Callithrix jacchus: one gene and its partners. The protein of the gene in region 1 interacts with the protein of each later gene in a biochemical or structural test. Links are inferred from orthologs where the notes say so. Each region holds a gene or a part of one and is shown in the gene's direction. Other genes may lie near its edges. The genes, in order: THRB, TBL1X and NCOA6.

Region 1 (4,320 bases):
CCCCAGTAGTTCACGTTGTTTCAGTAACATTGCAGTAAAATTGCCCTCCCCCATTATTATATAACATTGTTACCACCACAGTCTCATGAATTGTTTGAATTCCACACCTGTTATTTATTTCACGCTTTAATTGGCTCTCTAGTTCTGAAATTTTTAGGCAAAATGAGATCAGAAAGGCAAAGCCCTCGAACAAAGAGAAGCAACAGTTTTTGTTATATTTCGTCCTTGGTATGTATCCTTCTTAAAGAATTTAGCTCCCAAGTTATACTCAGGAAGAGAAAAAAATTAGAAGTTCCAGTAGGCCGAAAGGCCTGTAATCCACCATGTTGAAGGAAGATTTGCTTCACCTCATCTCCCTGTATTACTAAATTGTTCACAGGCTGTGACGACCCGGAGACTAGGTTGTCAACTGTTGGAGCCTACCTGTGCCAGACTTCTTCCTCAGTGGCCGACTTTTTCACCCACAGTTAGCCACCAGGGGGCCGCCTGCTTGGAATAAGTGGTGTAGACGCCACAGCTTTCCTCCAAACCAACCAAAACATTCCGGGGCAGCTTTGGAGCAAAGCCCAGGAACTTCCCTGCAAAGCAGAACAGCTCTCCAGCTACAGAAGCCGGCAAGTCCTATGGTGCAGCCTTATTAAGAGTAGAGAAGAAAGCGCGGATTTCTCACTGAGGACCAAAGGGAAATGGCGTGTCTGGGGCCTGCAACCTTCTTAGAAGTACATTAGTGAAACCCTGCTCATCCAAGAGAGTGGTTGTTAAGACTGCCGGCAGGGGTGGGGGGAGCCTCTCACCCCTTTCCCTGGGACACTCAGAAGAAGCGAAAATAAAACACACAGGTCACTGACTGGAAATTTAGAAAGTCCTCCAATAAATACCCTACACATTGTCAAGCAGCTGAGGATCCATATCGTCATAGCTCTATTACATTGCGTGTTACACGAATAGATGTGAATATTAAATTATGATGTCGGAATTATTTTAATATCGTCTATAAGAAATGAATTGTACTCTGTTGTCAAAGTAGTTTTGTTGCAACTATAGTTTCTTATTGACTACCTTTTCGCTGTCTGGCGACTCGGTATTTTCCAAGTATCCTTCTAGCTCAGAAAGCAAGTCTCTTCCTGGCATCCAGGACTTAAGGTCAGGGCATTGGAAAGACCTATATTAGCCCAGGAAAGGACTCTTTCTTCAAAAGTATACATTATTTTTGTCTTCTGATTTTATCTGTACATTTCCAGGGCAAAGACAAATTTATAGGGCGGCCCTTCTGGGACGTGTGAAGTGTCTCAGCCCTGAACGCACCTCTCCCACGATATGCATTATGGAGGTGGGGGTGTCCTTCTTAAGGGCAAGCCAGGCATGTCCCAAACTTCCATTCTCGAGTGGCGGTGGTGGTGAGAGAGCCGCCAGATGGCCGGGCCTGAGGAGGCCCGAGCAGGAGCCAGAACGCCGGGTCCTCCCGACACGCGCCACAAGTGGTTTGAGAGCGGAGGGAGGAGCGCGGTGGCACGGGTCGCGCCGGTCGGGCAGGGCACAGAAGGCCAGAGCGTGCTCCTGGAAGACTCGCCCGCGGGTCCCGTGTCATTCGCCCCCCATTCTTTCCTCTTCTCCAACTAGAGTGATGACGACCAAACCCACACCTACGCGCGCAGGCCATCGGGTGGGTGGACACGCGGCCACCAAACCCACAGCACCTTCACCACACTTGGGAGGGCACGGCCCGGATTAGGAGAAGGGGAAGCGCCGACACCTGGGAAGGCAGGTGCGGAAGCAGCCGGCCCCGGAATGGCGAGTGCGTAGGGCCGGGTGTCCGGGTCCGGGTCCACAAGCCCGGCGCTGTGAGCGCGTCGGAGCGCGGGCCCCGAGCCTGGTAGGGGGCGTCTGTGCTGGCCGGGCAGCCCGGGGCGGTGGCGGCGGCGGGGTGTGCGGCCAGGAGGCCATTTCCTCGCTGCGCCCCTGCCGGAGCCGGGTTTGCCTGCTCTTGGCCGCCGCCGCCGCCGCGCGAGTCGGACCGCCGGGAGGGCTGAAGGGAAACCAGGTCACCGGTTCGCAGACTCGGCGCGGAGCAGGCGCCCCGGGCCCAGAGTAAGCAGCGTCTGGGGAGCGGGCCGGGGCGGGCCGGGCACGCGGGGGACCCGGAGAGGCGGGGACTCTGGTGCCCCGGCCACACTCTCTTCCTACGCCTATAAAAGTGGAGAGACCGGGGAGGTCCAGCGCGGCCCTGGCTGCGGCCGCCTCTCCGCCCAAGGAGTTGACATTTTGCAGGACTCGCGCGACGCCCAGTCGCCGGCGCTCCCCGGGACCCCGCCGCCGGGAGGAGGGGGCGGAGGAGGGTGGAGACTGCGGGGCTTGGCCAAGGAAGGCGCACATCCTCGGGCGGGCGGCCGTGACGCGGCGGGGATTAACTTTGCATGAATAATGTGAGTGCGCTTGGAAAAGAGACCTCCTGCTCCGCGGGCTCGGGGCAAGGGCCCGCAGGCTACCTTCCCCTGTCAGGGGCGCTCAACCCAACCGGCTCCAGGGCACTGGTAATTTGTCTAGAGGACAGCGCGGAGGCAGCGGGGTGAGGGGAGGAGGGGGCGACAGTTCCAACTGTCCACAGGGTGGGCGGGATGGTGACGGGGTGTCGCAGGAACCCGGAGGGGTGCAGGCAGCAAAGCGTAGCGCGCGCGGGCGGGCGGGCGTGGGTGGTGGGGGTGTCATTAGCCCGATTACCTGCCTCCGCGGGGCTTCTGCGCCCCGGATCTGGGAGGAGGTGCCCTCTCGTGTTCGGGCACTGCGCGGCGGCAGGCTGCGAGCCACAGTGTGGACATTGGTGGAACAGGGTGGCTGGGGGCCCCCTCCAATCGCAGAGGCTCTGTTCCTCAAACCCCAAGCCCAGCTGTTGACATGTTCCTTGTGAAATGGAGTTTGGCATCCTCAGCGCCGAACCCAGTGGAAGTTTCCGTGATGAGGAAGTTGTGTGACACGGGGGTTCGGAAAAGGTTTGCAGGCACAGGGGGGAGGGTTAAAGGGATTGTGGGTCTCCCATCCCCCCTTTTTCGCCTGCCCCGGAACTCTGGGGCTTGGAAAGGAGAATTATCCTGAATGTTGGCGTGCGCAGTGGCCGGTGCCTGGCGACTGGGCTTCTCTCCGCCTCCTGGGGGCTCGGCTGGGATTTTGCTAGCCTCCTGGGTCGCGCTCCTTTGCTTTGCTTCTCTTGGCGTAGCATCTTCCTCTGGGTCGCCTCGAATTGGTTGTGATACCAGTTTTGCCAGCTGTGTGACCTCCACCCCCTCGGAGAAGGACTCATTTGGGGAATTTTCATTCTTAGTGGATTTTGTCCTTGTTAGCGGCAGTTGTCATTTTGGGGGGAGGATTTCCCAATGACCATTGTGGGGTTATTATTAGCGCTAATTCTTAAGCCCTCTAATTTATTTTAAGGAGAGGAGAGGGAGGATATGAGATGAGTTTTTTTTTTTTAAGATTAAATGTACAAGTTTCCCCAAATGGAAAATTTTAAAAGAAGGATCTAGAAGCATAATAATTCATAAAGTGAGTCAAAGAAAGGGAAGAGTTTACCTGAACAGCCAAGTTCAGACTCTCCGTTCTCCTTTCTCCACATACAGTTAGGATTTTTGAAGATTCAAACACTGCGTAATCAGTAAACGCATTTGAAATACATTCTTCCTCAGCATGTTATTGGTCTTGGGTACTAGTCAGATTCAGTTTTAAAGACCTGTTTTGAAGTTCAAGAAATTAAGCATTGCTTACACAGGGTATTAATACCAAGCAGAGCAATTTATATGATGATAAATGCATTGGTAATGTAGACCTGTTGGCCAATCTTCACATTATTTAGCCTTAGTTCAGTTTAATTGTAAGAATGTGTAGCATGCACTGCACACAAAGAAATAAAAATTGCATTTTAGTCAACATGTTCATGATTCATTCTGAATATCCAGTGACTGACCTGCTCCCCAATTCACTTCTGCTTAATTGTTTCTAATTCTGAAATAAGTCAGAGGCTAGGAAACAATGAAAAACGTGTTTCAGTGCTAAATATTTGAAGCAGTTGATGTTTTTAGGATGTTTTCATGCTAGGTGGCTGTTTTAATTGAGTCAAACAAATTCAGTACCAAGTGATTTGTTTGGTGTATTTCATACAAAGGCATTGGTGAACAATCATTTATTATTTGTGCATGTTAAAGAAATATAACAGAATCTATTTTTACCTAATTTTGGAGGTTTATTATATATTGGAAATGAGACCATCTGCTAGTAAATACAATTTGGCTTTATTTTATAGCCGGTGAAAGTAAATAATACTGAGTATAG
Region 2 (4,432 bases), on another chromosome or scaffold:
AAATTAGCCGGGCGTGGTGGCTTGCGCCTGTCATCCCAGTTACTCGGGAGGCTGAGGCAGGGGAATTGCTTGAATCAGGGAGGTGGAGGTTTCATTGAGCCGAGATCGTGTCACTGTACTCCAGCCTGGGTGACAGTGCGAAACACTGCCAGACTACATAAAAACAAAAAACAAAAAACCTCACCTCGGGTCCCCCTCCCCCCACAACCAGAACAACAAATGGTCTAGTGTTCGAGGAAGAGCAAGTGAGTTTATAGTTTATACTTCTGAGTGTACCGGGCTCTTAGCACGAAGCTTATTATGTAGTAAAGGAAGGGGCAAACTTATTTGAAAAATATTCAACAAGGCTGACCCAAGAGGTGCTGGGTAGGGGGAGCGGAGATCTGTTTAACTGAATTAAGGTCGCGAGTCGTGGGGAGTCGACATCAAGGTGGAGGGGAGGAAGGAGCGCTGGGGACTTGGGTGCACCAGGGCCAGGCAGTGTAAGCCGTTACGTCAAACACTTAGCAAGGGCCCGAGGGCTGAAGCCTAAGGTTGGGGGTGGGGGTGATGAAGCCCGCTGGCCCAGGTCCCCTAACCTCCTCCTCAGCCCCCACCCCTGAGCTCCGGCCACTCTGACGGGGTCTGAGTTTGTCCCTAAGCATTTCTGGCTCTTCCCGGGAGGTGTTTTGCAAAGGTGGAGGTTCCGCCGGAGTCCCCACTTCTTGAGGTGGGGAAAGATAACTGGGGTGTCTTTTAAAACGCCGATTTTGAGGTAGATACACCCTCGGGCAGGTGGCTGGGGTTCTGTCAGGGAAGCCGGGTTGCTTCCTTTTTGGGATGGGGGAGGGTAACACTTTAGCAGTGACCGAGGTTCCCCTGCCCGCTATAAACCGAGGGGGTGGCCGAGGTTCCTGTCCTCTCCAGGCAGTCGTGGAAAGGCTGGGTTTGGGATGGAATGAGGGTAAGCCTGGGTTCCTCTCAGTCCCACGGGGGCCACGGGGAAGGGACCGGGCCCCGGCAACTAGGGAGAGGCCCGGGTTCCCCTCACCCACCCTAGGCGTGGGGGAGCGGGGAGAGCTGGGTAGGGACGCTAGTCCCCCGACCCAGGGGCAAGGGCTGGGTTGGGACGCGGGTCTCCCACTAGGTTCAGTGGGGGAGGGGCGGGGCTGGAGTCCCTATCCTCGTGGGGGAGGGGCTGGCTCGGGACGCGGCCCCCCCGGGGCGCAGGGGCGGGGCCGGGTGGGACGCGGGGTCGCCTCCCACGGCCGCGAGGGAGGGGCCGGCGGCGGGGGCGGCCCCCTAGGCTGTCCTCCCAGCTGGAGTCCGCGCGCTCGCAGCCGCTCCCCGCGGAGGTCACTGCCCGAGCCAGTCCCTCTCGCCGTCCCGCTCCCTCCCGCCGTCCCGCCCTCTCCCGCCGCCGCCGCCGCCGCCGCCGCCGCGCCCGCCTCAGCGCCCCCACTCCGCGCTTGGGAGCGAGGAGCCGCCAGCGCCCCCGCCCCGCTGCCGCCGCCGCAGCTCTCTCCGGCCGCCATTCGCCACCGAAACTTTCCAGCGCCCGCGCCCTCTCAGGGACTCGGCGGCGGCGGGGCGGGGGCGGCCCAGGGGCGGCGCGCCGCTGCTCCAGGGCGCCGGGCCCTCTTCGGCCGCCACACGGCAGGGGCTCGGAGGCTGCCTGCTGGAGGGAGGTTCGGAGCGCAGACCGGCGCGCGGCGCCGCCACAAGTTGCGCTGCTCGCGGTGAGGTGAGTGCGCGGGGCTCGGCGGGCCGGGCGCTGGGTCCGCAAACTTCTGCGGGGAGGCGGGTTCCGTGCTGACCCTCGGGGGTCCTGCCGGAGGCTCGGGGAGCCCGACGCTCCTCCCGCCCCTGGAACTCCTGGAGGCGCAGGTCGCCAGCTGTCCCCGCGGCGCTCGGACTGGTGTGCGGCGCGCTCCCCGGAGACTGAACAATACCCCGAGGTGGCGGTTCCCCAAAGTGGGGGTAGGAGACGGAGGTCGGCTGGGGGCTCCTTTGTTTTGGGGAGGGGGAGGCGGCCGGTAAGTTTCGGGAAGCACTCCGCTTCTCCTATGGTGCCTCTTTGTCTGCCGATCCTTAGGCTTGCTGGGTTAACCTGCGCCACCGTGGGCTCCGGGGCCCGAGGTGGAGGGCGGTAGCGGGATTTCCCCCTGTTGGGGAGGGGAGCCCCATTCATCCCCGCTACGCGGGCCGGCCCGCCGGCACCCGGTTGGAAGCGCAGCTGCGCGGAGTGGGGCGAGTGGCTGGTGAGGAGGCGCGGGCTCCGCGTCTGCTCAGTTTCTGAAGCGCAGAAACTGTCAAGGAAGTCGGGAGTCCCTGTCCTCTGCCCATCTCCCCGGCCCGAGCGCACGACCGGGCTGGGGGCACCCCTGGCCCGTCGAGGGTCTGCAGAGCGCCGCCCGGGGAGAGCGCAGACCTGTTGCTGCTCCTGGGCTCTGGCGGGTCGGGTCGGGTGGGTCTCGCAGATCCGGAGCTCTAGCCTTGCTGCGGGGGACTTTATCTAAGGATGGGACCGGTGCTCGGAGTGCGGTATGGGGAGTGTGCCTTCGGGAGTCGGGGATGGCCGGATCTGTGACAACTGTGGGTCGCTGGAGCCCCGCTAGTGCGGGTAAAGGGCCTGGACTTCACGTGCATCGCCTGTGCGCGGTCATACTGGGGCCAGGGCTCGCTCGCTGCAAGGCCTCGTGTTTCCCCAGCCAGCTGCGTTGGACGTTCCACAAAGGTAGGGACCATCGTTTATTTTCGAGTCAGTCAGTGATGTTCTGGAGCAAAACCTAAAAAGAAACAGAAACCCACCCTCTATTGTATTTGCAACTGTTTCTGCTTTGCATTGTCATGTGTGGCTTGACCTGCCTTCTGGATGTTTTCCATCTCCTGACACGCCGCCGAATCCCTGGTTTAACCTGGAAGGCGACCTCCCTGCTAAGGTCCCGGGCCATGGCTTTGGTGTCGGAAAGTGGCTCTTGACCATTTTACGAAAAGTTTACAAGTCCTACCTAGAAAAGATGCAATTAGGAAAATAAAATCTAGAAAAATGTTGAGTATGACATGCTTATTTTAAAGGGTTGTCATGTCTCAGGTGTGCTGCAGATTTTTGTGGAAAGCCACCAAACTGCGTAACTCATACAAACAACGAAAGTTGTTCACCACTGGATCACCGGCTCTTAAGGCGATTCCAGCCCTTCGGAATACACACACCTGTAGGACTGACATGGAGATGTGTGGCGTAGTGCAGACACCCTCGCTTCCCCACCCGCAGGTATTTTGCCCCTTTACTGGACTCAGAGAACTTCTCCCTGCCAGTAGTTTAAAGAGGAAACAGTTTGCAAAAAATAATAACTTTATTGTAGACACACTTAGAAGTGAATGTTTCAAATTCTGGAGTTTTCCCATCAATTATATCAGTACCACTGGTTCTGTGCATCATTCTTAGTTAGAAGCTTTTTTTCACCTTTTAAGGTGATGAGCAGAGGCCATCTCCAGCAGGTCGTGAGTGTCAGGAATTCAGATTCTCTGATCCACTCCTGCTGGGTAAGAGAACACCTCCGTTAGAACCTGGGCCTGGCCCCTTCCCAGTTTTCTACAAAACTGCCTTGCAGCACTGTCCTGTGGGCCTCCAGGCCTAGCCGATCATCACAGCTTCTCTGCCCAGCCAGGCAAGACCATCCTTGCGCTGCTTTCCTGTTGCCTTGCTTTGCTTTTTATTCTCCCTTAGGAAAAACAAAAAGACCTAGTACGCTACATCCGAGAGGTTGTTAATCTTTCACTACCACATGCATTGACAAATCAGTTTCAGCCAGGAAGCAACACTAAAGGCATATTATAAACACTTTTTTTTTTAGTTGGAAAGATAAACTTTTTCCCCATAACTATTTTTAGTGAGAGGGAGGTAACTGACCTCTTGAGCAGGAGACTGCGCTCGAGTTTTTCCCACTGGTCTTGCCCCTCCACTCCCGCCCTCACTTTCTGTGGGGCTCGACCAAATGGACCACACTGGCCAGACTGGCAAACTTGAAACCTACCGGAACCCAAAGAAAGGCTGAATGTGGGAAGGGGCTGAAGGAGTCACAGGTTTCTAAAGAGCAAGCAGAGCCTAGGCTGTGAACAGGAGTTTCACATCTCCAGGGGAGAAAGGCAGCTGTTAAGGAGTCCACTCGGGCTGCTGCCTGCCTGGCCAGCGAGAGCCTGACTTCAGATGGATGTGCCACCCAAGCCGGCTTCCTTCCAGCGCGGCCATCCCCATCAAATGTTTACAGATAATCTACTGCATGCCTGAAGGTTGCAGAAGTGAATTGGAAGCTGTTAAAAATGGAATTGGAACAAATTTAAAGTTAAGATGAAAGAGAATATGTTGAGTTTTCAGAGGAAGTCGGGTACTGTTTCCTTTTCTTGCCGAGGTTTGTTCTTGGCGGATGGGATCAGAGAGATTGAGATGCGG
Region 3 (4,391 bases), on another chromosome or scaffold:
AAAAGCCAAAATAGAGCTACCATACAATTCAGCAATCCTACTCTTAGGTATACACCAGAAAAAAAGGAAATCAGTATACGGAAGCGATATCTGCACTCTCATGTTTACTGCAGCCCTGTTCGCAATAGCCAAGATTTGGAAGCAACCTAAGTGTCCATCAACAGATGAATAGGTAAATAAAATGTACATGTGCACAATAGAATACTATTCCGCCATTAAAAAAGAATGAGATCATGCCATTTACAACAATATGGATGTAACTGGAGGTCCTTGTTACATGAAAGAAGCCAGACACAGAGAGACAAACTTCCCATGTGATCACTTATTTATGGGAGCAAAAAATTCAAACAATTGAACTCATGGAGATACAGAGTAGAAGGAGGGTTACCAGAGGCTGGGAAGGTTAGTGGGAGGTGGCTGGGAAATGGGAATGATTAATGGTTACAAAAAATAAGATGAATAAGACATAGTATTTGCCGGCACAAGAAGGTGATGATAGTAAAAAAACAATTTACCTGCACATTTTAAAATAACTAGCATATAACTGGGTTGTAACACCAAAGATAAATGCTGAGGTGCGGCCAGGCACGGTGGCTCATGCCTGTAATCCTAGCACTCTGGGAGGCCGAGGTGGGTGGATAACCTGAGGTCGAGAGTTCAAGACCAGCCTGACCAACATGGTGAAACACCATCTTTTTTAAAAAAAATGCTGAGGTGCTAGATACCCCATTTACCCCATTTACCATGATGTGATTATTATGCATTGCATGCCTGTATCAAAATCTTATATACCCCATAAATATATACACCTACTGCGTACTCACAAAAATTAAAAAAATACATCAGTGTAGTGTGGGAAAAAGAACAAAAAAATTTAAAAAAAGAGTGAAAGCCAGATATGAATGCAGGCCTGAATGACAGACATCAAGTCCAGTGCTGAGGAGGCCTTTCTACATTTGGGAAGAGGGGAGGGGCCACACTCACTTGTTCGATCAAGAATTCTATTAACTGAGCATTTCGCTTGCTAGGGAGGTAATGATGGGAAAAAGAAGAGAGGGATTTGGAGGCAACTAATAATGAAAGCTTCTATCTATATCCCCATTAAGCTTATTATTAGACAGTATGTGTCAGGCACTGCGATAAGTGCTTTCCATGCCCCCCGCCATTTCTTCTTCAACAAGCACTATGAATTTCTCCATATTTCAATAGGTAAACTGAGGCTTGGAGTTGCCACGTCCAAGGGTACTTAGCCAGAGCGCTCGCAAAACGTTGTGCCGTGTGTGCTTCCGAAGTGGGACTCACTGGCGGGAGAACAGCCCTGGGAAGTCGACAGAGACCCACGATACACCCGCACTAAGCACTCAGCACCGAAGCGAGCTGGCGCGCGCTCCACCTCGCGCTCCCGGGAACGTCTGGTCACATGGGCGATGCCCCGCCCCTCGAGTCCGCCCCGCCCCTTCTCGCGCTCCCTCCCTCTCTCCCTCCCTCCCCCTCCCTCCCCGGCCCGGTCCGGCCCATCCCCCTCCCCGCCGGCTCCGTGAGGCCCTGCCGGGTCGGGCTGCGGGCGGCCGGGCGCGGGTGGCCGGACAGACGGGCGCACGCGAGGACTGACGGACGAACGCACGGAGGGCGGCGGGCACGCACGGCCCGGGCCGGCGCTCCAAGGCCCGCCCGGGAGGGCCGGGGCCGCGCTCAGGTGAGGCAACGGCGGCGCGGGCCCGTAAGGGGTGGGCCCGCCGGGCGTCCGCGGTCCGGGTCGGGTTGGCTTTGCTGGGAGGAGGCGCCGCCCGGGCCCGGCGCGGGAAAATGGCGCCCGGCGACCGTGCTGCACGGTCCGAGTGTGGGCCCGGCCCGGAGCCGCCCCGCCCGCCGCGCTGGTGTCCCAGTCGCCATGTTGGGGAGCGGGCCCTAGGCCTGCGGGCGGGGGCGCTGGAGGGAGCGGTGGCCCGGCGGGGTGGGGAGGGTGCTGGGCGCGGGGGCCGGTGCACTGAGGGAGTGCAGGGCTGGCTGGGGTCTGCACGGGGTGGCGCTTCAGGCCTGGGGAACTGGCGGGAGCTGGTCGTGGGGTCGTGGGGTCGTAGTCAGGGTCGCCGAGAAGGAACACCGGGACCGAAAGGAACCGGGATTGGGGTCCAAGGGCTGAAAGGATGGCAGGACGTGGAACTGGGTTAGGCCTTAGGCGGTGTATAGAGAGCCCTAGTGCTGGTAGGATCTGGGGATTGGGGTGGAGGCTTGGGGTCAGGCTCAGGCTGTCAGGGCTGGAACAGTTCTTTGCGGGAAAGGACGGAGGCGATTGATGAGAAATGAGGGCCCTTTGGATCCAGACGCTGGTATCAGATTGGGCAGTCCTTGGGGTAGTGGAACTGAATTGCAAAGCTGTGTAACTCACAAGGCTCTGAAGACTTCTGTCCCAAGGATCCTCCACCCCCTATTGGGGGAAGCAACAGGAAAAAGGTGTTTGATGAGGAGAGAACAGGGGGACTGAGGTTTGGGTGCAAGCTGGCCAGCAAAAGAGGTACAGAGAGTAGAACTGGTTGGCAAGAAAGGAGAAAACCTACATCAACTTTGGGAGTTGTGTGTGTCTTTAAAAGGAGGAACCCGCCTGTTTGGGGGCGGTGACCCAAGGTGTCTTCCCTGGAATGGGACAGCCCACAGCTTAAGAGCAGGGTCACCTGGAGAGGTCATCAGAAAGGCGTTATTGAAGCCAGTAAAATGGTGAAGAGTGAATGTATAAAAACTACAAAGACCTGAGAGATCAAGTAAAGATTTCAACTCAGGTAGTGATTTTAGCTGAAACATAGAAAGGTAAAGTTGACTTCTCAAGATCTTATAAGTTAGTGGCAGAGGGGCTACTGGAAGTGGTTTAAACACATTTCCTTAAAGGAATTTGCTGGTTGGGAGAAAGGTGTTAAGAAATGAAGCGTAACATTCTTGTGATGAAACTAGAAGCAAACAAACAAAAACAACAAGAAATGAAGCGTAACAGTATATACCAGAGAACAATTAAATTTGTTTTGTTCCTGTAATGAGTTTGGCAATGCAAAGGCCGAAGGGAATACAGTTACTTGGTATTTCCTGGCTCGTCTCTAATTGTGCAAAGAAGTTATCTTTGATACTTTCTAACTTTCTAGAGTTTTTAGAGATGCTCCGGCCAGCCACAGTGGCGCATGCCTGTAATCCCAGCCCTTTGGGAGGCCAAGGTGGGAGGATTCCTTGAGCCCAGGAGTTGGCAGACCCCATCTCTACAAAAAAGGCCAAAAAATTAGCCATCTGATGTGGCTTGTATCTGTAGTCCCAGCTACTCAGGAGGCTGAGGTGGGAGGATCGCTTGAGCCTGGGAGGTCAAGGCTGCAATGAGCCATGCTGTGATCATGCCATGACATTCCAGCCTGGGCGACAGAGCAAGATACTGTCTTAAAAAAAGAGATGCCTTCTCTTCTAGGTGTTTATCATAAAGGAACACAAAATCCTAAAAAAGAAAAGTGAACAATGGTAGAGACCCAGAGTCTATATTGTGTTCATCGAAGTTGGATCCTGTGAGAGAAGAATTCAAAGTTTGCATGGACTATGGGTCTGAAGGAAATATGCAAATCAGTCATGAAAAATAGGTCCAGGGCCCCATATAATCAAAGAGAATTAATGAACAAAAGGGTTATATATAAAATAAGATCGTCAATATCATATGTATATACAGTAACACAATTCATTTGTTCTGGGTTTGTTTTTTTTTTTCTTTTTGGTAGAGATGGGGTTTTACCGTGTTACCCAGGCTGGTCTTGAACTCCTGAGCTCAAGTGATCTGCCCATCTCGGCCTCCCAAAGTGCTGGGATTAACAGGCGTGAGCCACCATGGTGTGAGCCTTTTCTGGGTTTTTCTAATGCTGGAAGACCTGACTTTATCTGTGCCATGGACCCCTTTCAGAATAATATTTTTAATTGTATAAAATAAAATACATTGGATTATAAGGAACACCAATTATATTGAAATACAATTACTACACTATAAAAATCTAATATGCATATACTTGTTTATCAGCACATTAAGAAATCATATTTAGTGATGGATCCGATAATTATAATTTCAAAGATATGATGCGCTTAAAGGGTACTTTAAGATTATATGCAACAACTGTAGTATAATATAAAGATATTTGAGGGCAGGGCACGGTTGCTCACATCTATAATCCCAGCACTTTGGGAGGCTGAGGTGGGTGGATCATAAGGCCAAGAGATCAAGACCATCCTGGCCAACATGGTGAAACCCCGTCTCTACTAAAAATACAAAAATTAGCTGGGTGTGGAGGTGTGTGCCTGTAGTCCCAGCTACTCGGGAGGCTGAGGCAGGAGAATTGCTTGAACCTGGGAAGTGGAGGTTGCAGTGAGCTGAAATT

The links.
Region 2: the proteins of THRB (region 1) and TBL1X form a complex in vitro, tested with the Homo sapiens proteins (2 studies listed by BioGRID). The link is inferred for Callithrix jacchus from reciprocal best matches to the Homo sapiens genes THRB and TBL1X.
Region 3: the proteins of THRB (region 1) and NCOA6 form a complex in vitro, tested with the Homo sapiens proteins (2 studies listed by BioGRID). The link is inferred for Callithrix jacchus from reciprocal best matches to the Homo sapiens genes THRB and NCOA6.

Annotation. Positions count from the first base shown.
Region 1 is NC_133518.1:62,843,006-62,847,325, reverse strand, and holds the start of THRB (thyroid hormone receptor beta), read left to right. Parts: upstream 1-1,377; 5' UTR 1,378-1,663; intron 1,664-1,665; exon of another isoform or gene 1,666-2,088; intron 2,089-2,218; exon of another isoform or gene 2,219-2,566; intron 2,567-2,774; exon of another isoform or gene 2,775-2,987; intron 2,988-4,320.
Region 2 is NC_133524.1:9,682,745-9,687,176, forward strand, and holds the start of TBL1X (F-box-like/WD repeat-containing protein TBL1X), read left to right. Parts: upstream 1-1,584; 5' UTR 1,585-1,723; intron 1,724-2,205; exon of another isoform or gene 2,206-2,716; intron 2,717-4,432. UniProt on the Homo sapiens protein: F-box-like protein involved in the recruitment of the ubiquitin/19S proteasome complex to nuclear receptor-regulated transcription units. Plays an essential role in transcription activation mediated by nuclear receptors.
Region 3 is NC_133506.1:4,479,915-4,484,305, forward strand, and holds the start of NCOA6 (nuclear receptor coactivator 6), read left to right. Parts: upstream 1-1,501; 5' UTR 1,502-1,696; intron 1,697-4,391. UniProt on the Homo sapiens protein: Nuclear receptor coactivator that directly binds nuclear receptors and stimulates the transcriptional activities in a hormone-dependent fashion. Coactivates expression in an agonist- and AF2-dependent manner.